Mytilus edulis: one gene and its partner. The protein of the gene in region 1 purifies or fractionates together with the protein of each later gene. This does not show direct contact. Links are inferred from orthologs where the notes say so. Each region holds a gene or a part of one and is shown on either strand. Other genes may lie near its edges. The genes, in order: RNA-binding protein 28-like and uncharacterized protein.

Region 1 (12,800 bases):
AGGTCGATTTATGGGGAACCACTAATGAAAGGCCAATGATATTTGGTTGTATAAGAATTGGCACATCTCATTACCATGGAGATTATTTGACCCCTACCCCTCAGTTATGGTTTATTGACTAGGATATTTTGCTTAGTTTACATGTATTTGTTAGTGTTTAGGTTTGTTTAAAGGGAACTACTTATGATAAGTCACTGGTATTTGGTATGCAGTTGTATTAGCATTGGCACACCTCATTTCCATGGAGATTGTTTAGCCATGTACCTTCAGTCATGGTTCATTGGCTTTGAAAATTTGTAAAACTTGCATGTTAAAGTGTTGCTATTTTAATTTCAATATTTGCATTATCGAAATTACAAAAAAACAAGACATATCTCTGCAAACTGTTTCCTGTGAACTAGCATGTTAAAAATCCTGCTAAATGTGTTTTATACAATAAAGGGTTCAGATTTATTACAAAGGTTCTAATGTGTATGTAATATTTGCCACTGGTAGTTATGGATGTTAAACCTATCCATGTTTTAATTTAACTTTTATCAAGATGTTTGCTGGTGTCCACTGAATCCTCCACTCACTTTGATTTTTATCCTTTTAACTGTTTCTAATACATAAAAAAAATTTCAAGATAATTACAGAAAATTCCTGTCTCCAATCAAATGCATGAAATTTAAAATTTCAATCTTGGGGCAGAAAATGAGCAATTGCTACAGATTGCCAACAAGCCACTGTAAATTCTGTCAATATATATTTGAGCACCTTAGGCCTGGTCTACACTCTACAACAGCTGAATCAAAGCAACAATGAAAGACTAAATATAGTACAGTTTAGTTTAAAGAAAGTCCAATCATTTGGTATTGTGCAACATACTAGACAGTAGACACCCATATCAAATGAACCACATTTTGTACAAAGAATCCTTCTAATACTTAAAACTGGTGTTTATCCTGGTCCCCATCAATCAACTAATATGCCCAACAAAATGAAACTTAAGTTTCTTAGGGAAATCTTTGGAAAACATATTCAGTAAAATAGTCGAACAAATAGTCCAATTTAAGCAAGATATAACCAGAAATACTTCACCTGGCTGTCTGAATTTTAAAGTAGAATACTTTTGGAATGGCACATGGGAAATAAGAAGAAAACTGGTATTGACTTGTAACTTACAAAGTTTTGTGTAGTGTTATTGTATGTACTTTGAAGCTGATTCACTTGTTTGTCAATAAGAGACATCACTTTTACACTTACACCTTTTACCAATATGAAGAAAAATCCAGTGAAACTCAGAACAATTGAATTATTTAAAACAAACTTTGATATGCCGACTCGAATCTGATAAATGATATAGCTTGTAGCAGGTAGAACATTTGAGGTTACCAAAAATTAAAAAAAAAATCTTCATAATCTCTTTATTGAATGCAAATATAACATCAATATTCCTTGTATGGGACTTAACAAGTTGATTTTGTTGATGATTGGTTAAACAAATGAACTTCAATGATGGACTTGGTTTCAGTCTGGCACTTAACAGTCGTAGAATTCAATGCATAGCGGGAATGCCTGTCTTGCTGCAAAGACATAAACCAATTGTTAAAAGTTTATATTTTAAAAGATAAAAGTATACAGGTTCCTTATGTTACGAAGTTTCCTTGATCTTATTTTCGGGGATCACCTGCTGCTATCCAATTTTTTATAGATTATTTATCATGTGAGTTTCTTATTTATTATGAATAATAGAATACATGTAGCTATATTTGGAATATAGGATTCTTTCATGGTCTAAACATCATTCAGGCAGATTTCATATAAGTAAACCATGTCCTCATTGTACACTGGGGTAAAGCTGATGACCGTAACTGCATTCACGGTCATCCCAAGATGTCGGATGAAAAATTAGGTCAGTATTTGTATTGTCTGTTTAATTGTTTCTATATCATTTTCTTAAAAAATGCATACATTGGTACGATGTAAATTTATAAAAGATTCACACGGAAATCGCAAATTACTACCGAGAAATGTGTATGAAACAGGAAATTGGATTGTATGGATCGGTGAAGTATTTAAACTCTGTTCCCCAGATACTCAAAACAATAGGTCAATTATTTTTGATGTTTTAAATGTTGCATGATGTACATGACCGATGGTCAGGGTTTAAGACAAAAGATAAAAGCAATTCATCAACTATATCTAATATAAGGAATGATTGTAGGTATAGTACATATAATAATGGCAATATTTTCCATTTGATTAAAGATATGTACACGTGTGTTAAATATTCAGTTAAACTAGCTGATTCTGGACTGACTGGTTCCATACTCTCAAATGTTGGTGTTAAACAAGGGTGTATACTGAGTCCCCTTCTTTTCAATTTATTTATTGATGACTTTCCAGGATATCTTGATAAGAAGTGTGATCCAGTAGATATAGGGAATACAAGATTAAATTGTTTAATGTATCCAGATGACATAATTTTAATGTCTCAAACCAAAGAAGGGCTACAAAATTGTTTATCCTCATTGGAACTTTATTGTCAAAAATGGCAATTATTATTGAATATAGAAAAAACTCAAATAATAGTATTCAACAAATCAGGTAAATTATTGAAAGACTGTAATTTTTATTTTGAGCAAAATCTTATCAAAAGTGTTCAAGAGTATAAATACCTAGGTATTGTAATGAGAGCATCTGGTTCTTTCAGTACTGCAGTTGAAGATCTTAGTAAGAAAGCACTTAAAGTAATTTTCATGATTAAACGTAAATTTCTTTGTACACATAATAATACACCTTTGCTTTTAAAACTTTTTGATTCCTGTGTTAAACCAGTCCTCTGTGGAAGTGAATTGTGGGGTTCGTACATTCTTAACTTGGACAAAAGATTAACACAAGGTTCAAATGATGATTTAGAAAAAACTTTTTTAAATTTTGCACCTGAAAACGTTCACATTCGATATTGTACTTGGTGCCACTAAAAATGCTTCTAATATAGCCAGTATGACAGAACTTGGTCGTTATCCAATCTCTATATTTGTTATTTTGCAGTCTCTTAAATACTGGCTATATTTGTATAAAGACCCTCTTTTGAATTTTTCAAAATTAGCATATAAGTCAATTGAAGATGTTGATTGTACCTTTCCATGTACCTTTAATAAACACATTTTTCAGTTTCTAAAATTCATTCGTTTTGACCATGTTTGGAATAATAAAGGAACTATGTCAGAAGGAAAACTCATATCTGCAGTGAAAAAGATATTACAAGAAAGATATGTCAATTATTTGTTCTCATGTTTGTCAGGTGAAAAGCAAAACAAACTACGCACATATTACAAGTTAAAAAAGGAATATAAACCTGAGACTTATACAAAGTTAAATATCTCAAAACAATAATATCAGTTTAATAGGTAACAGAAGACAATGATACATAAGGTAGAAACCTTTTAACTTCAAGGGGGGTATGACAATGATACATAAGGTAGAAACCTTTTAACTTCAAGGGGGGTATGTTTTTTGTATGAGTGATTTTTTTCCCGACATAATAATTAAACATGGTCAGAAAAGCAGGCTAGCAATGTAAGTGTGCATGTTGTTGTTTTGTATATACTGAGTATCGGTTATTGTTCGTTATTGTTTTGTACCTACTGAGTATCGGTTATTGTTCGTTATTGTTTTGTATATACTGAGTATCGGTTATTGTTCGTTATTGTTTTGTACATTATTAGTAAGGTTTGATTGTTCGTTGTTATGTTGTAAATAATGATGAAGGCTACATGTAACTGTTGTTAGTTCGTTGATGTCATTGTACAAAACGAATAAATTTGTGTAGTACTTTGTTCTGTACACATACATACATGTAACGAAACGAACGAGTAATACATTGTTGCATTTCGTTTTTGTCTAGTATATAGTGTATATATATATATATATGTGTTTGTGATTGGTGTTGTCTGTTCTACTGTCTAAAATAAGTTAGATCATGTTAAAAAGTCTCACAATGCGTATGTCAAGGACTCATATTTTACGAAATCTATTCGCAGAAAACCAAATTATCTGTTTGACGTGCTTTTTTCTCAACTTTTTTTCTCACGATAATATATAGACAATTATTTCCAATAACGTTTGAAAAAAGTAACTTGTTTGATAATGTCTACTCTCATATTGTGACTTCTCCTCATAATTCAAATCTGTATTCATTAATAAAGAAAACAATGTAAGAACCAATAAAGGCAATGTTCAAAGTTCTTACTACAGTGTCGAATTGATAAACTTATATTAACAGCATCGTCTAAAAAAATTAGGATGTGCTATCCCGTTTATATCAAAGTGTATATACTGTATACAGTTATGGCCAAACTTTCAAACCAATTAATCCTAGCTTGTGATTATGAACGAATTTAGTTAGGTTTCAATTAATTTGTGGTAACGAACCTCCTGACTAAATATCTAACCATGCAGTTATTTATATATTTTGTCCATTCAAATCTTTTAAAAGCTAGCGGCAGATTCTCAGCGTAACGTCTATATACTATATAGTAAAAAGATCATAAAATATATTATAACAGAGACATATATTACAACCATGGGATAACTATTACAGATATAAGATATCTTATAAAGTAAATACAATATCTCTGTATCATAAACTTTTTAAATAAGATATATCATAAATAAAACAAGATATCTTATTAAGTTCATAATCATGATATCTTGAATTTGAATAATATCAAAACGTCTTGTCATTGTGATGACCTTCGTAGAAGTCTCGGAGTGTACTTGTATCATTAATATTTAAGGAATGACTATAATTATTTTCTGTTTATGACGAAATAACATAAAAAAATGTGGTGCACATTAAATAAGTCAAACTCGAGTACCACAGGTGCCTGTGTCGAGTACGTAGCAGTTTATTAAAAAAATAGTGTTTTTTAAGGTTATTTCGAAAAGACAATTAAAAGAATCTAACCGTCAGTCATTCCTTATAATTTAATTCTTAATTCCATTTTGAAGGAGTAAATCATGAAAAAGCGTTGCTGACGTCAGTGTCACGCGACAAAATTATGTCTACGAGCTGATAGACAGCGGAAACATTTCATCTACATTCACCCAAGTATAAAGTTTAGTTTGACGACTTCCAACATGACAACAATTTGTATACAACATTTAATAAACATGCCCAAAATTTATGTACAGGTGCTGGTTGAAAATATCATCTATTTTTTGTTCGTGTTGGTTAGCCACTATACAGAGAAGCTTGATAAGTTTGGTCTTGAATTCCTCACTGCTCTCAATCTCTGGTAGTTAATTTCAGTATCTGATGATCCGAGGAAAAAAAAACTGTACCTGTAAATATCTTTGTTTGGCCTGATTTGTAAAGATCTTTGTATTCGGTTGATGGATTCTCAAAGTTCTACTTAGTTTTAAAATGTGTGATGAAATTGGTATAGCAACCTATTCATGGATGGCTTTATGAAAGAGCGTTATACGTGCTATTTTTCTTCTCGTTTCTAGTGGTGTCAGGTTTAATTCTTCTAAAAGTGTTGTTACTAATCCTTTTGATAAATCGTGCTACACGGCGCTGGACCATCTCAATCTGGTGTGTATGCTTTTGTAGGTAAGGGTCCCATGCGCTGCTTGCGTATTCAAGCACGGTGAGGTCGAACAAGGACAAGATAGGCTTGTTTTTTTACTTCATCTGGACAGGATCCAATATTTCTTCGAATGAAGCCTAGTGACAACTTTGAATGTTCCATGACATTGTGTTGGTAAGTTCAGCTCCTAAGTATGGGTTTGATTCAACTGATTCAACTGAGGATATGAGTCCATTGATGTTGTAGTTGAAATATGGATGGTTTGTCTCTTTTTGGTTATTATAAGGACATAACATTTTGAGGGATTGAATATCAATTGCCAAATTTTGGTCCAATTTGTGACCATTTTATCAAGATCTACTTTTAGATGTTTGTTGCAGTCGTCCTTTGTTGATATCGTTAGCATCATTTAAAAGACGTGTGACATCCAAATTAAATGATTTATACTAGACGATAGTGGTAAATGATTTATACTAGACAATAGTGGTAAAAAATGCAGAATGAAGAGCCAAAAAAGGAGGAGAGAAAAATAAGGCAAAATAATAGAGAATAGAAAACAATGGGTTTTAAAATATAAATTAATGGTAAAAATGAATAATGAACCGAGAAAAATGGTCTGAAAAATTAAGAATATAGAAGTTAGGAACACTAACCAGGCCCTCAGGCCAGAAACATATAATAATATATGTCATTTATACCAAGGATTTGTTTAGTTTTATCCATTGTTTTAATTTCATTATTCTGCACTTTGTGTATTTTTTTTGTCTATTTTTTCAATTCAATCCAGACACTCGTATACGGATGACGGTCGTATACGTTAAAACAAAAATGATATTGCTATCTGCTTAAATTATCATTTCAGCACAGTAGGTGAGCAGCTTATATCAAATCCTCACAAAAGTTTTAAATCTGAGAAAATTAATAACCGTATGTCAATTCAAAAATAATTGATGATACTAAGTTCTCATTATATACTGTCACAAATGACGAGGTTCTACAAGGTCAAAAAAATCTAGACATAACTAAATCAACTGGAACTGATGGAGTTGGACCAAGAATTTAAAAACTATCAAGGTCTATTGTAGCAAGCCCCCTTGCTCACATAATAAACCTTAGTTTATGTACATGAATATTTCCTAATATATCAAAATCTGCTAAAGTTGCTCCCATATTTAAAGGAGGGGATAAAACAGACCCAACAAATTATCGACCTATTTTAATTTTACCCACTGTGTCCAAGTCATTTGAAAAAAAAACTGTCTTTAAACAACTATATTTATTCTTAACCACACACAACAGTGGCGGATCCAGAATTTTTTTATAAGTGGGGGACCCAATGACTGGCCTAAGAGGAGCTAGGCCCGCTCCAGTCACGCTTCAGTGATTCCCTAAATATGCAACCAAAATTTTTCCCAAAAGGGGGGGGGGGGGGGGGCTGCCCTCCCCCTAAAGCCGCCCTGCACAAATTATGAATACAAAAGCAGTCATACAGCACTCATTAAAATAATTGATAAATGGTTAGAAGAATTGGACAATGGAAATTTTACAGCTATTCTCTTTTTAGATTTTAAGAAGGCTTTTGATACGGTAAATCACAATATATACTTTTATCAAAACTCAAATTATACAAATGTGATGACCACTCTGGTTTTCATCGTATCTCTCTCAGAGAATGCAAAAAGTTAAGTTAGGAACCCCTGAATCAGAATATAAAACTGTAGCTTTTGGAGTTCCTCAAGGTTCTATACTTTTATTGTTCCTCATTTATATAAATGACTTACCATTAACCTTAAAATATACAGAATCTGATCTATATGCTGATGATACAAGATCATACAACTTTACATTTGTCATCTAAATCTATTGTAAATTTAAATATATGTTTGAATAAAGACTTAAACAATGTTATTAAATGGTGTAAAGAAAATGATATGACGATAAATAGCAAGAAATCAAAATGTATGCTTGTTGGATCAGACAGAAAACTGGTAAACTGTAATGAATGTTTATGTGTTTTATCACAAAATAATATCGCTTTAGATAATGGTTACAGTTGAAAAACTTCTCGGAAATCATATTGATAAAAACCTGTCATGGTCAATTCAAATTGATAAAATATATGTGAAACTATTTCAGCCAGAATATATTTGTTAAAAAGGTTGAAACGTTATTTACCATTAAAGGGTCTTATTCTTTTTTACAATAGCTATATATTACCCATTATTGACTACTGTTGTACAAACAAAATCTCCCGCTTGTACGTATTTTTTTTCGGAATTTTGTCACCTACCTTGACTCTAAGATTATTGTATGATATATCTGGTTCCTTGTCAGAAATAAGCATTACATAAGCGTTAGCAGTAATTAGAGTTTAAAACCAGTACATCTGCAAAGCATGGACGAGAGAAAAAGCAAAACATTATTTATTAGAAATTTACCATTTAGTACGAACAATGAAAGCTTAGAAAAAACGTTCAGTGATATTGGACCGCTCAAGCAATGTTTTGTTGTGAAAAACAAAGGTAATTATTGTAAAAGATGTATATATACACAGATGTTTTATCTAGTGTTTTGAGGAGTAGACCTAGCTAAATAATTTATTTATCAATGAAGACATATGGTTTGTGTAAGATTATTTGGCTGATAATTAAGTTACAGTGGAGTACCTGGTGTCTGCGCGGCCCGTGATATCATGCATTAGCTGATTTTGTCATATCAACAAAGTTACCTAAACAAAATCAGGATCTCCTGTAGTTGGTGATGGCAATAAAATTTTGTACCAGTATTGTAACTTTTAAAAAAAACCCACCAACAATACTGGTACATTATTTATATACCAGTATTGTAGTTGTATTGTTGACTATACTTTAAGGGTTGTGCAAATAAACAAAAGATTATTGTAATTAACTCATATTATTCAAACAATTTTTAATTATATAAATAATTTTAATTGTATATTTTTGCGAACGTTTTAAATGTATTTGTAAATAGCCAAGAGAAAGCTTTCTGTGTTGCCCGACACTGCGTAAAGTTTTCGCTTGGAACCATGAACATTCAATATTGAATCCGGTTCCTTACCTGGAAGAAGAAGAAGAAGAATTGCTAATAATTTTATCATATTTCTATATTTTTTAATTAATTCAATTGAGATAAAAAAAAAAAAAGCTTAATTTTATTATCCGAGTTATTATAAATTTTAATAAATTCAAGCAAATTATTACACTATGACACTGTAAATTCAGCATTTACATGTATGCCATGTATATTTTTTTTACAGATATTTTAATACATGTATACTAAGATCATATGCATTTGCTGGTCTTCATTTTCTTATAAATCTTTCTCAATAAACACGATAAAAGATATCAATATCCATTAATCATAAAAAAGTTGCTAATAGGGAAACCTGATTATAATCAAATTAACTAGTTTGTCTACATAAATGTTAAGGGTGGTTAAAGCAGTTGATTCAGAACCATGGGCAATACAATTTGTAGCAGATATATACTCAAGTACTAATACATGTATTAGACAAGCACTCCTACAGTAAGAGAGCCGTACAGGTGCTATCTAACATGCTAAACAAGCATGTAATCTAGTAACATGCAGACTGAATACCTAAATATCAATATGGGAAGTGGGGGTTGCAGAAATGCCATCTGAAGAAGAAAAAACGAAATAAATGCTGATGATACAGAAGGTATAACAGCATTAATGTCAAAATAAAATTCACTTAAATATACGAGTCTTGGAAAAAGAGAGATGGAAGAAAACATGGAAGAAAGTAAAGAGTTTGTTAAAATGCTGAGACAGTATGGTTCCCTTTTAACAGTTTAAAAGAAAAAAACATCGGAAGATTTAAAAGTTTCTTTGATTACAATCACAGTGTATCAACAATGGCATCATCAGTTAAACAAACAATCATTCTATACATGCTATATGAAATTGTCATGTCATATGTTAATATCATTATGCATATATATATGTGACTGTTATGACAACTTTAATAATAGATTAATTACCTATATGTATTGTTTATTTAAAAAAACCCACAATACTGGTACAATACTGGAATACAATACTGGTACAAAATTTTTATACCAGTATTGTGGACAATACTGGTATACCAGTATTGCGATCACCAACTACAGGAGATCACAAAATCATTCTTGGTATTGTTTTAGCCTTCCGAAGGGATAAAAAAGAATAAAATTGATAAGTTCAAGAGTTAATAAATAAATGATATTCCTGTGATTTGCCATATATTTGGCCAATTTCCATTAAAAAATAACATCATCAGATAAAATTTGTTTTATTTAGGTCAAAATTATATCAGATTAAAATAATTTTTGCTCTGTATTCTTGGCAGTGTATTTGGTTCAAACTCTGGTATATTTCGTAGTATAAAATCTTTCCTTTTAAGCTATTTTTGGAAGGCATTAACGAAATCACCGGACATTAGAGGAACTCTAAGAACAGGGGTTTCTGTAATTTTGGACACACATTACACAAAATCTAGATGATGAAACCATACAAACAGAAGATTTTATGAAATAAAAGTATGTTATGAATGTGTTCACACAATATAATCCAATTATTGGTTTTATCAGTTGAATGAAGTGAAGTCATAAGTCTTAAGTGCACGGATACACGGGACTGCACCATATGTATTTATCAAACTTCTTGCTCCTTTAAATCAAGTTGTCCTCTTAGATCTCATGTAGTTGGTGATCCCAATACTGATATATACATGTACCAGTATTGTCCAATACTGGTATAAAAATTTGTACCAGTATTGTAACTTTTTTTTTTAAAACAACAATACTGGCACATTACCGATATACATGTACCAGTATTGTTGTTGTATTGTTGACTATTCTTTAAGGTGTATTTTTTTTTAAATGAAAAATGAATTTTAAGCAAAATAGATATTGAAGTTCAAAGGGAGATTAAATGAACTCGAAAAATTATAGAGGATAATTGTGAAATCAATTAACAACCAGTTAAAAATAATAACTATACTTGTACAAATAATCAAAAGATTATTGTTATTAACTCATATTATTCAAACTGGCGTTTTACGTTTCCGCAAATTGGCATTACTTTTCTGGAAAAAAAGATGACGCTTCCGGATAAAAAGTTTATGTTTCCGCAAATAAATACAGTCAAACCTCATTGTGTCGAAGTCAAAGGGACCGGACCAAAGTATTTGACTCATCCGAGGTTCGACTCATCCGAGGTCGAGTGTGTCATCATAAATTTGAATGCATGAAATACGGTATGAGATTTGTGTAAACTAGATACAATGAACAGTGTGCCTTTTCCATTCAATCTCCATTTCTGGTCCTTCGTAATAATTAAAAACACAAGTACAGATACAAATCATGCACAAATAAAATCAATAGTCTACACAAATATTTACAAAGGTCATGTGCTATAAATTATGAAATCACGCGTGGCACGAAATAAGTTGTGAACCGTCTCTGATGAGGTCGTCTGCTTTACATTAAATTATCATGAATTTATTATAATTGTCCTAATCCTTTTATCTATAGTAATTAATGAGTTTTAAATCTAATGATTCATTTAATCTCGGCTTGGGTCATTTAAATTCGTTTCGTTTTTATCTTAAACAATCGAAAGAATTCTATTTCTGACCCTAATGGCAAGTAAGAAACAGAAAAAAAGAAAAACTTCCAAATTGGCGCCAAATTTTTTTGCCGCGAAATTAACACAATTTCAGAATGGCAGGTTTTAATATCAGTCCCATTGTTGTCTTAAGAAAGAAGCAACAACGGTCGTTACTAAGGGCTTGCTTTCCGACTGAAATGTCTTCGGACGACGTCCACAACGTGATACCAATATACGACCAAAAAATTTTCAATTTTTGCGGTCGTATAACAACGTCATGGGTATTATGAAAATCAACAGAAGTGAAGCAATATGTTTTATTTTTTATTTTGAATCAAATATTAAAATCTGAGCCAAAATGTAGAACTTAAGCATTGTCTTTGATAACTTGATGTAAATTCAATTCATTGTCCTTTAAATTATTGATTTTTTATTGGTCTAGAAAAGAGGGTGACATTCCAAAAATTGTCACCCGCTCAGCTATGTGGTAGAGTAAATTAACAGCCTCATATTAGCCAAACAAACTATGGCATTTTAGCTTGAAGTAAAATAAATTCTAATATTACATATGGTGTAGCATTCTAGGAAGGAAGTGCCGCAGCAGACGAAAAGGAAATTTGCAAGTTTATCACGGGATATTTCAGGAATTTTATATTAAATGCAGACGCTGAGAATACAAGAACCCTTATGCAACAAGCTATGAAGTTGTTCAAAGAATATTGATATTTTCAATACCATGTTAAAATTCTTGCAAAATACTAAATTCAAAAATACACAGAAAGAAAATTGAAAGCCATTTTCCTAATACATTATCATGACTATTGACAGATGTGGGGCTCACAGGTCTAAATCAACTTTTTTTTCTAATATAGGATTTTGCAATTTTTTTCTATGATTAAACTTTATCTTATACCTAATAGAAATATAAAATAAAAATATGGGGTCACCGTTCATTTAAGCTCATAATCTTCCTCCGAAAGAAGCATACATTTTTGTTAATGTCCATTTTTTTCTGTTGAACTAATAGGAGAAATATTGGTAATATCAAAATAAAAAAGAACTAAATTACAGAAATCGCTAACATTTTACAATTATTTAGTTTATGTACAGCTTGTTTGAAAACAATAATAAAAAATATAGGTCACCGATGAGTTAAAAAAGATATTTCAATTTAAACAATGACATTTTTGCACCAAAGGGAGATAATTTGGAGCTTTTTCAATGATTTAAACATTTTTAAAGTCATCTGTGGCCAAGCCTAATAGATTTATCTGGGTAATTTTTGTACCATATTATAAAGTAATAACTAATAGTGTAATAAACAAAATGTGTATTGAAAAAACAAATGTTTAATTTTTGATGATTTTTTTATACCCGCGAGCCTCCTTAAGGACTTTCACTCAGTCAATACCTTATATATGGACCTCGCCAAAAGTCCATAATTGATAATTACATGTAAATGGTATATTATATAATTTTCATTAAATGAGATGTAGGAACATTTTAAAAATATATAATCTTGAACGCAGATCAAGTTGGAATTTTGTTGGCATCTTTTTTACCCTTGTAGATTTACATGTATGCCCTGTA
Region 2 (12,314 bases), on another chromosome or scaffold:
GGGGAATTTGTCATAGGTGTTCTTTTAGGTAAAAGTTTTTAAAATGAATTTTATTGAGAAAATATATTATTTTAGAAAATATGAAATTATGAAATAATTGTTTGACAAATTTTTAATTTAATTATTCAGGTAAATTTTGTGAAACATGTCGCTTCTTAATAATTGCTCTGAGCAACACTTTGGTATCTTGTCAATTGTCATTAATTAATCTGAGCAATATTATGGTTTAATTAGGATTATAAATGTAATTAACTTGTATCTCTCTAATTGACATTATTCATATTTCACCTTTGGACATTGTAAACAATATTATTAATACTCAAAATTATCTCAATTATCTCAATTATCAATGTCTGTCATTTTATGAGTAGTTTTCAGCTTTCGCCTTAAATATCGGAGTCGAACAGTATTCGTTAGTGTAGTCTCGTCGGTGTTGTCCAGATAGGAGTGCTTCCAAAGCCAACCAGGCTCAGCTACTCGGGAGAAATGCTAACTCAAAAGACAGCTCAACACAACTGTAACTATTCAAGCCAGACAACATCAACTTGGAATATTACGAACATTTTGGACTTTTAACTTTAACTGAGAATTAGTGAAATTAGTGACTTTATTAATTGGAACATTTGGACTTTATTTATTTGTAAATTGTTTTGGCATCATTATTATTATTTGGACCTGTTACTATATATAAATTTGTTACAACTTGCTGCTTGATTTATAGTTTTGCCTGCCATTGCTTAAGTCTTGCGAAAGACTGACCCCCTGTGCCTTGGGCTGTGCATGTTCGATAGTCCCCCTTAAACTCGACGTGCATTGGCTCTTGGTGACATATATACAAAGAATTAGCAAAATAAATTGTAACTGCAATTTGTGTTTTTTTTTGGAAAATTGATAATTCCTTTAATCTTGAGGGGGAAAACATCCCATTCTACTTATGCTATTGAACCTTTTGTTCAATTTCAGAGTAATCAAAATACTTAAACACAAGTTATTGTCCTTTAACTAGAAAAATGCTTGATTTGAGCCTCTTTTTGGCTCCTAATTCCTAAACAGTTAGGACATCTATCCCACACCAATCCCAACCTTCCTTTTGTGGTATTGAACCTTTTTATTAAAATTCATAGAGATCTATACACTCAAACTAAAGTTTGTCTGGAAACAAAATGATTTTGCAAGACAACAACATCATAGCAATACATGAGTGACTGCAAATTATTTACAGATGTATAATTACATTATTAAAGGTAGAAATAAGATTTGTATAAAAAAACTTAAATATAGTGACTTACAGCAAAGTGTTTTTAGGATTATGTACCCTTGTGTTGCTTCAATGCTAAACCTATGGAAATGTTATAGAAAATCAACAGCCTTTCCCCTTGTACTCTCATATTTGGCAATTCGATACTTGATAGACAGAGGATTATTGCATGCAGTGCTAGCAATGATTTCCTTAAAACAAGTTTATAATTTTAGATATTTGTTTAAATAAATATAAATGTGAACCAATTCAAGTACACCTTCTAGGGTGCGACTTTAGTGACTCAACATGAGATGTTTTGGAATTTAAAGGTTGTTTTAGGACTTTTTGTAAACAATATACGCTAGCTGATCATAGAAAAACAAGTGAGGCCAAATAAAAATATATGTATGGTTCCAGTAACCCTACTGTCCCTACTTTTTCGGCTTAAAAATAGCCTACCCTAAAGATTTTATTGTCATTTTTCATGAATGTTGCTCCCATAGACTCAATGTAAAAAAAAAAAAAACATCAAATAAAAAAAATCCCTTCCTACCTACCCTAACTTTTTATCCGATGTAACTGGAACCACATACTTTTTTATTTGGCCTGAATTAACTTTGTTTCAAATTTTATTACAAAAATCTCTGTATTAAAGTCTGTGGATTTTCTACAAAATTCTTGATTTTATTTTCACCAAATTCCCTTTTTCTATTAAATGCATCTAAACTTTAAATGATTATGCTTTGCACAAAGTTTCCCCTTTGTATATGTACAAAATGGCCCATCTCTATTATTCATTATCCTTGCTGATTTGATACTATTGCAGTTTAAAAAGTTCATAATTCACAGGCCACAGAAGGGGTCATAAACCTTAACATAGAAATATATAAAATTTTACATTTTGTCCACCTCATAACCTTTTATTTTGAAATAATTTTTGAATATACATGTATATACATCTATAATAGATACCTTCCCAAAAGTGAATCTATATATTAGACAAGTAGGCATATTGTCTCACAGGCAGCATAGGTTAGTTTATTTTGTTCATGTTAAACTTTGTGTCATGTTTTAGTCAGATGGTCTCGTAACTATGCCTTAAAAATTACATTGTGTCTGCCTTACAATGTAATGTACAGTTGGTGAACAACTTCATTAATACAAATATCAAAATCCAGAGTAATTTAATATTCAAAGATGATGTCAACATTTACATTGTGTATGACCATGAATTTATTTAAATGAAAGGTGTGACTATTGTCTCTTTTCTATATATTACACTGGTGGTATGACTCTGAATTACCGTAATTAAAAGTGCATGGAATAATTAATTTTTCCAACTTCAGTCATAAAAGCATTTTCCTTGTTATCTCTCCCCATTAATTCTTATCAGTGATGTGTGATAACTTTTATGTTTCAAAACAAATATCTATGGTTGGAAATATTTTGTGTGCATTTATTTATTACAAAAAATATACTTAGCAAAAATTCACAATTTACAGTATTTCACTGACAATGTGATAAAGTATTGTTATCATGGTTATCATTTTTTCATGCCATTATCACAAAAATATCAAAGGATACCAAAGAAATCTGATTGGCAGGCATAAATGATATAAAAAAATAAAAGTAATACCTCAACTGTTTTAAATGGCAGACCAATGTCCTTTGCTTGATCTTTAAGAAACTTGATAGCTCCATCTAAATAAATCAAAATACAAATAAATCTGATCATTAAAGTGATGTCTATAAAATTCTTTTAAGAACAAAAAAAGTAAGAATCATTTGTTAATACAAACCTGTATGGAGAGAGACTGTTCTTAGTTTCAACATTTGATTAAATTAAATTAATATAGCTATCTATCTATGCATTTTGTATTTCAGAAAAAATACACTTGCATGTTGTTTTCTTCAATTAATGTTATTGCAATTGTTAAATTTTATGTACAATATTCTTCGCTGAGTCATACCTGCCAACTGTCACTACTTGCAGGCAATGTCCCGTATGGAGACTCCAAATTGGAAATTTTGAAAGATTAATATTGTCCACAATTTAAAACAAAACAATCAGTTTCACCATGGGTATAGCATTGTAAAAGAATGAAAAAGCAAATAAACAACATTAAAATAAATTTGATGGCCCCTTAAGGTTTTGTAGGACTATTACAGCCATCCTGCATGTAAAACCCCCATGGGCATTTTGAAACACAGGCAGGTATGCTGAGTTTATTATTGACAACTTCTGTAGGAATGGGAAAAGATATTCCAGTTCCGTGATACAGTAGTTAATTATGTCTGTCATATGACTTCATTCACCTTGAGACAAAGTGTAGGCAGTGTCACTTCCAAAACATGTTGAGTGAAAGAATAAAAAATTTTGTTGCTATTCTTCAAGAAATATTTGGGAAATCAAAATCTTATTAGTTGGTCACCCTTCCTTCAGTTGTAGGGTAATTGAGATTACATAAAATGTACATAGATTATTTCTAGACTCTTCTCCTGAATTATGTTCCTACAGATGCATGAAACTTTAATAGTGCAGGGATACATGTTCGCCTTCTCTCAGGTAGTTGATAATCTTTTCCAGTCATACAGATAGACATAATTCGAAAAGTACACTTGACCCAAGTATTTGCAACACTTGGATGTCAATCCACAATCAATTTGCTTGTAGTTAGACACTGCTTTTGTGAGGTAAACACTTTTGGGAACATAGTTGTATTTGTCAATACCTTAAAGGAGGGTTAATTTGTAATGGGGCTACTTCATGACAAATAACAGTAAAAATTCCTGCCAAATGACGTTAATAATAATTTTTGGTGCATGACAATAAAATATACACTTCTTTTCGACGATAAAAAATTGACTGAATTTGATAAATCACAAAAATAACAGTTACAATAATGATTTGAGACATCTGAGAGGGTGATAAAGGGGGGTCCTGAACACGGAAACAAGTGAAATAAAAATCTCAAAAACGTTGCACAGAAAATAAAAATTGGAAAAACGAAGCACGAGAAATAAAATTGTAAATATAAAAGAATTAATACTTGAAGTTATTACTCAGCCGTTCTTGGAGATCAGGCAATCACTATTTTTGAACATGACAACCTCACAGTAACCTTTGAACATCCACAAGTTGCATGTGATTTGAAAAAAAATAATATTTATAGTCATTTGATAGCAATTAATATCCTGGGAACATGTAATTAAAAACAATCTCTGGATTGACTTTGAATTTAGTCCCATTTACTATTTATAATGAAATGCGGGATAAGCATGAGAAATTAAATGTCAAAACACGAAAACACTTGAAACAAAAAGGCCAAAAACATTGAACGAAAATAACTCTTTACCACCCTCATCTGACAAATCATGATGAAGATAAGGAAATTTTGACAAATCAGAGTGAAATTTTAACCAATGTGACGCTAACGGTTGCCCAAAAATAACCTTAAAACGTCTGATGTTAAAGGGCATTCTTAAAGGGATAGTAGCTACGATTTTGAAAAAAATATGAACAAGTTTTAAAGCTGCTAAAATCAAAAGCAATAAGATCGCTAGAATGTTTTCATAAACTACAGAAGTGTTAATAATTGATAATTCATATCGTGTTGTGTGCCTATTCATCTCATTAATTATGCATCGGGTTTACTTCCCGAACTTTGCCGACATAGCGAGTGAGCTAACCAAGATATATATAGATACGAACACGTGCTTTTTGTTTTCTTACATATTTGATAATTACTCTTTATTAAACGTACATATTTGACGCCATTTATCAAATTATGTAAATAAAAAATATAACAAATACCGGCATGTTATTCCAACCCAAGAATCTCCAACAATGGCGATATTATACACTTGTTATTACATTTGTATGACCAAACCATGCTGATAATGTATACACGTGTTTGTGTGTTAAATCGGGGCCTCCATGAAGGATACACCTGAAGAATAATACTAAAGTTTAGGAAGTTGATTTCTAATTTCTTCTAAGCTGGGAGATTACTGCCCGTAAATTTATAAACATATTTTTGACAATTATGAACACGTTGAGATTTTTTTTCATGTGATCTGGAAAATTTAAGAAATGTAAACATTACGCAAACCGTCGGCTACTTCTGTTTGACTTTGCCTGCGTCGCAGGTGTTTTTATTGATTTTAATGACCGATCTCATCGACGTTTTTTATTTTTGATTTACAATAACTTGTCTGCACCTCTTTTTTGTTTCTTTTCTCGCTGAAACTGTAAATTCGCGTACCATTTCCGCGATAACATTCCCCTGTTCGACCATTTTCCCTTCGAGGCACAATGTGGGATTGCGCATTGGGAACTAAAGAGTAAAGGTCATATGAATAAGGGTTGGGCTTAACATCGAATTATTATCTATAGATAATAAATAAATGTAGGTGTTAAACGTTAAAAAGCTTCTAAATGCTCAACTGAACGTAACCAGTAATTGTTTTAATCCTAACTATTTTACTTTTTGTACAAAATCCGGCATATAGATTAAAAAAGTAATTTTAATGAAAATCGTAGCTACTATCCGTTTAACCTCTTAATATTGAACTATTATCTGATTATACATACGCAATATAAATATGACAAACATACCATAATCTGGAGTTGGGTGGACCGATTTGATACGCAAATACTGTCTAAATCTTGTGACAGCTGGATCTTCTTGCTTGTTGCTTTCTGTCATTTTTCTTATTTATATAGTTTTCTTGCAACGATGTTACTGTGATTCTTAGCGTACTTCCTAACCTGGGAAAAACGATTTAGAAAACCGAATGAAAACACCTGTGTGGGTCAAGATTCAGGACGTTAGTTTTCGATGTCGCGAGAGATCTTCCGAATGAAACAAAATGTCTGCGCCCATGAACACAAACGCTTTATAAACTTTATTGGTTTTAACTATTCGATACAGCTTTCAGGTGAGATAATCATAGAAAGGCAACTATATGTAATCCTGCACTGTTTCAAAAGCAAATCGGTTAAACATATAAAGGACATATGCATACAAAATTCATACACACAAATATTCAACAATAATGTCAATATTACAGTGTCAACTGGTCAATGAAACCTTCTACCTGTACATGTAGCTGCAGTAAAATGTTCTACTCTTGACAGTTAATATCTGTTCTCAATAAACATCTAAACAGCCAAATAAAATCTACACCGTTTTAACCACAATGTAAAGATATAAGTACACAAATAGAAGATAAAAGGAATTAAATCATTTATTATTTTAAGTTTGTTTATATTTATAAAAAAAATCAATGTACTGTCTATGCCTATAATGAGGGGCCTGATTGGGGGGGCGGGGGGTCTCATCATAATTCACGAGTTGATTTTTTTGTCAATCACGATTTACATGAAAAAAAATCTGTAGAAAAACAGATCACAATAGCGAAAATGCACCGATCACAAAGAACGAAAATAACCCATCAGGCCCCTCTATAATGGGTCCTCTATTGGAAATAAAAAAAAATATTTCTATCTTTATCGTTTTAAATGAAAATAGAAATAAGATGCCATGCACACATGACAAGGAAAAAGTAGTACTCAGCACTTTATCATCAGTATCACTACATGAGGGTAGTAATGGGGGTACCTTCATGACGTATAACGGTAAAAATTATTGCCAAATGACGTTAACGGTAATTTTTAGTGCATGACGATAAAATGCACACTTTCTTTTAGAAGATAAAAAAATCAGCTGAATTTGACAAATCATGCTATTTTTTTTCCAAAAATAATGGTAACAATAATTATTTGAGACATCTGAGGAATCACGATAAAGATATTTTGACGAATCACGACAAAATTTTAATCAATTTGACGCTAACGATAGCCGAAAATGACCGTTTGCACCTGACAGTAAAGGGCATTACCACCCTCCTATATTGAGGGAGTGCTGAATTTTAAAAAAGAAGATGAAAGCAAATGCATGCAATACAAATCCTTGGTTGGTCAAATTATTTTATAAACATTAAGGTTCATCATAAAAAATAGACAAACTTGGTATAAAAATACAGTTCAAGTGCACTGCTGCTAGGTATTGATTTTTTTTCCCAGATTCTCAGTTTTGTCTTCACTCAGACAATAATTTCATAGGTGAAAACACAACCGATGTTTGTCTATTTGTAATGATGAACCACAATGTTCATAAAATAATTTGACCAATTTAGATAACAGTATAGATTTTGCTGAAAAAATATTTTTGTTACTATCTTTTTGCTGGCTTCATGCCAAGTCACCACAGAAGTTTCACTTGCCACAAGGTCAAGTTCTATTGAATCTGGACTCGCCAAACACGATTCTTACTCGCATTAGGAGAGTGGTAAGCAGAGGTTTCATACACTGCTTCAATTATGTGATTTAATTTTCTCGTTAGTCAAGGGAAACTACCAATCAATTCTTAAACATGATAATGTATGTGTTACACATATATCTAAAAAATTAGGGAGCCCTAGTGGTAGTTTACAATTTCAGATTAAAACTTGGCAATTAAATTTGATATCCTATGGATATGATTTTGAAAAAATGAGAATTATACTAAATCATACAATATTCAATTATTAAACTAAGTTCATCTGGAAAAAAAAAAATCAAATTATCTCCCCTTTTGCTTAAATAATTTGTTATTGATATGACATAAGTTTTGTTACTTTGTAGATCATGAACCAACACAAGAAAAGAAAGTTTCCAGGAACAAGTCATTCTATTCCAGGTCAGAAGAAGACAAAACTAGATTCAATTAAAAATGAAAATTTAAAAGCAAACAAAAAGATACAACATAAAGGATCCACAGTTTCTGTAAAACCACAGAAGGAAGGAAAGACTAATAAAACAGTTACAAGTGTTCAGACTTCAGATAAACAGCCTAGTCGGAAAAAGAAAAAGAAACAATGGCAATCTGTGAAAGAAAAAAGAAAGAGACTTAAGAAAAAATATTTAAATGTTGACAAAAGTACTTTAACTGAAACTGATAAAACTACACAAGCTATTCTTCCTGAAAATAAAGTAAAATTACCACAAACTTCTAGTGAATATTCATCAAATTGGAAAAATCTTATGAAAGTAAGTTTATATCTGTGTGTGGCGTTGCCAAGAAGAACCCTTCTATATGGTGTCTTCAGTGAAATGTTTTTGGTTTATTTATTTTTTCTTTTCATTTTGGGTATTTTTGTGATAATGTCAGATCTATACAGGTCTCTAGATTTGAATTTCTCTAGAATTAGTTTCATTTACATTTTGACATAATTGTCATTAATTGATAAGAGTAATTTTGTCTATAGGTGTTGACCTTTACTTAACATTTGCTTTGTGATATGTTTATCATATATAAATTTATTGGCCGTCTACATGACATTTGCTTTGTGATATTTTTATCATATATAAATTGATTGGCTGGCCCTCTACAATATACAAATAGTAAAAAATATATATTATTGTGTTTATTAATGTTTATTTATAAAATAAGAAAATATCACATTTATGAGATCTAATTTTATTAAAACTATGATGTATAATTTGAAACAGAATGAAAAGCCAGCTAAAAATTTCTAATAAAGGAAGGTTATACAGCAATATCTGTATGAAGAATTTGTAAAGAAATAGACTATTCTATAAATGTAGCTGTATTAATTTTTCCCTTGTTCTACTTACACAACCTGTTTGTTTAGACACTTGCATATTTAATGTTATCGTGTATCACTCTAGTATCTTGGCTCCATGTAAAAGTTCACTTTAGAAATGCACATTACTGTTAACCACAATACAAAGTTTAATATTGAAATCTCTTCATAAGGCCACACCAATTTAATTTCTTGTTTTATGGATTTTTGGGCTCCAAAATTTGGGGCGAGCGAGCGATTTGAAAATTTTAATAAAAAGATATTTAATTTGCAAATTTTTGAGGCGAAGCTCGAAAAGTAAAGGTGAGCGATTATAATTTTTTTTTGTAAACATAAAATAGTAGGTTTTGACAATATTAAAGCTTGATTTATCACTTGTACTTTGACATTTCTTTAATTTCTGAAGTAATTTTTCCCTGTTCTCCAAGAAATAATTAAATCTGGTCTATGTATGTGTGACTGACAATGAGACAGTTCTCCATCCAAGTCATAATCAGTTTGGGGACAACCCCTTAATGTTATAAATATCCCTTTTACATGTTTTATGAGGGATCAATATAAGTTATAATATATTTGTTTGTACAAAAGGGCTCATATTTTCTTAAAGAACTATGTATCTATCTGGTATTAAATGGTCGAAACAAGTCCAAGAATTTTGTAATATTCCTGGACTTTAACCATTATATGTTAACACTTTTACTTTAACAGTTTAATATTATTCAAAATAAGAGGACCCCTCTTTTAGAAAAAGTTGTTTAAAATATGATGTAACTCTTCAGTGGCGGATCCAGAAATTTTCATAAGTGGGGGCCTGCTCGAGTCACGCTTCAGTGAATCCCTATATAAGCAACCAATTTTTTTCCCAATAGGGGGGACCGGGCTCCCTGCCCCCCCTCCCTAAATCCGCCTCTGCTCTTCTCTTTTTGAGTACAAAATTCTAAGTTTTCAAAGGTTTTGTATAGAAGAACTATACAAATCCTTGGTATTTCTATTTTTCTTTTCTACATCAGTAAAATGACCCCTTGTCTGAGGGAGGGTTGTTCTCAACCTGATAATAACAAACACAGGTCAAAGTACGGCCTTTTACACAGGGCTTTGATACAGACCAAACAGCAGGCTATAAAGGATCCCAAAATTATTAGCGTACACAGTTCGAACAGGAAAACCAACGATCTAATTTATATATCAAGTATTTCCAAACGGGAAAATACCAATGAACAACATCAACAAACGATAACTGCTGACCGACAGGCCCCTCAATCAATCAGGACAGGTGCATAAACATGCAGCTGCTATGGATAGTTTTGTTTCGCCAGCATACAATATAATTGCAGTTGAAGGCAAATCCTTCAGAAGTTCTTTGTACTTCTAACAACGAACATTTGTTGATAGGGAATAGGGAAAGTAACCAATTTTTTGTTCTTTACATGCAGGTATTTCCGTAGTTATAAATTTATATCGGAGCACTCCCGCTTTTAGTCCAAATAATTATGACGTCTGGCAAGGCTATTTTAATTTTTTTCTGGGACGCCTCCCTACGACGTCTGGCAAGGCTATTTTATTTTTTTTCTGGGACGCCTTCCTACAACGTATTTTATTTTTTTTCTGGGACGTAGGAAGATGTCCCAGAAAAAAAATAAAATAGCCTTGCCAGACGTCATAATTATTTGGACTATCCCGCTTTGGATAAATAGGTTTCATGCTGAAACAAATATTCTCACAGATATTTACAAAGTGTGGTGGGGTGCTTTTTGCTTTTATGTTTAAAATCGTTATATATACAGGTTAGACTGTGATTTTAAAAACAAATGTTGATATCTTTTTATAATATTTACAAAAAAAATGGTGCGGGAAATGGACATGATTACATTTCCGGATGCGGGAAGCGGGAATAAAAAAAAAAAAAAACAAATCTGTTTTGAAAAAAATAGGTGCGGGCGGGTCCGTTGAACAAGGTATCAAATTGGTGTGGCCTAAGTTATTATTATCATATTTATTAGCCGATTAGCAGACCAAAAAGAAGTAGTAACACAAGATAACCTCACTTAAATTGTTCTCTGCTATGGGTTTCAATATTGTTACACAATGTATAATAATTTGTTCCTGATATTTTCTTATTACAGACATTTAACATTCCACAGACAAAGAAAAAGAAGAAGAAAAAGCATGAGGAAAAACAATTACCTAGTGGACAAACAAAGACAGAGCAGGAAAAGTATAAATAAATTCAGAGTATAATGTTTTCTCACAAAATTTCACTCAAGCATGTAAATTCAATTTTTAAAAGTCTTGATTAATTTCTGAAAATGAATGTATTCATCCATTTTTGTCGAGCCTGTGACTTTTGCCTTGTTTATGATCAAAAGCTAGTATCAAGACAGACATTTTGTAAAAATTTCTATCCTGTTTTTCCTTATTTTACTTAGAAATGGGTTTTTTCCCAGTTAACATTAGATACAGTCTGCGTTTAAAGTTTTTAAAACAATTATTAGACTGGTTTTTTACCAAACTTAGACATAAGCTTCTTACAATCAAATGATATTATATAGAGGAAAATTTGATTTTTTTTCCCACAGTTTTGATGAGCCTGCGACTAACAAAGTTAATTTTTCTTATTTCAATGAAATTATTAATGCTTGAAGATACATTACTATTTAATAATTGTTCCAGGGAACCAGAAATTTGGTTTGATGATGTAGATGACATTCTGCTGGACAGGAAACCAGAATCTTCACTTAAACAGTCAGATAAACTTGTCAAGCAGCAATCATTTACAGGGTAAGGTAGTTATATTATTATAGATTTGGATGATTTATAAAGGAAATCGGTCTGTTAGACCTCAAACATGGTGACAAAAAGGAAGTAGCTTTTGCTAAAATTGTGTCAATCAAAACCTAGCTATCTATTGTTCATAAATCAATAAAGATACCACCATAGTTAGATAGTACATGTATGGACATGATTGTTTTAAAAGAAAAAAAAGTGATTTTCCTCCACTTCATTCTCATCTTAGAACAATAAGCTAATTAAGTCATTGTGTTCTCACTTTGCTCTAGTAACTTAGGATGGAATTGATCAAAGTAAAATTTAAGAAAATAGCATTGAAATGTATTATTGTTATTTCTATAATTGCATGGTATAAGTTATAGGATAGAAATAAGTTGTAATCCCTGGAGTAAGTTTTTACATGGCAAACTATATTATTATTGTTATGAAAGCTGTGGATGCTGCATCTTTCTATCCAGTTGACAGCATTTCAGTTTCTTTTGTGTAAACTGATCTTTGTTTACATTGTGTCATAAAGAGGAGAAAGATTTTGATATTTTATATTGCTTTAATAAGACTTCAGTTTCATGAAACATACATTTGACCAGGAAGATCTCAACTATGAATGGGTGTCAAGTACATTGAAAATGTAAGTGAA

What was found.
Region 2: the proteins of RNA-binding protein 28-like (region 1) and uncharacterized protein purify together in Homo sapiens (affinity purification with mass spectrometry; 3 studies listed by BioGRID and IntAct, with this or other methods). This does not show direct contact. The link is inferred for Mytilus edulis from reciprocal best matches to the Homo sapiens genes RBM28 and REXO4.

Annotation. Positions count from the first base shown.
Region 1 is NC_092353.1:13,392,738-13,405,537, forward strand, and holds the start of RNA-binding protein 28-like, read left to right. Parts: upstream 1-7,908; 5' UTR 7,909-7,974; coding exon 7,975-8,101; intron 8,102-12,800. UniProt on the Homo sapiens protein: Nucleolar component of the spliceosomal ribonucleoprotein complexes.
Region 2 is NC_092344.1:89,229,508-89,241,821, forward strand, and holds the start of uncharacterized protein, read left to right. Parts: upstream 1-6,043; 5' UTR 6,044-6,181; intron 6,182-7,928; 5' UTR 7,929-7,931; coding exon 7,932-8,333; intron 8,334-11,013; coding exon 11,014-11,105; intron 11,106-11,560; coding exon 11,561-11,668; intron 11,669-12,314. Other genes in the region: aminoacylase-1-like, read right to left, coding at 2,877-2,941, 5,859-5,949.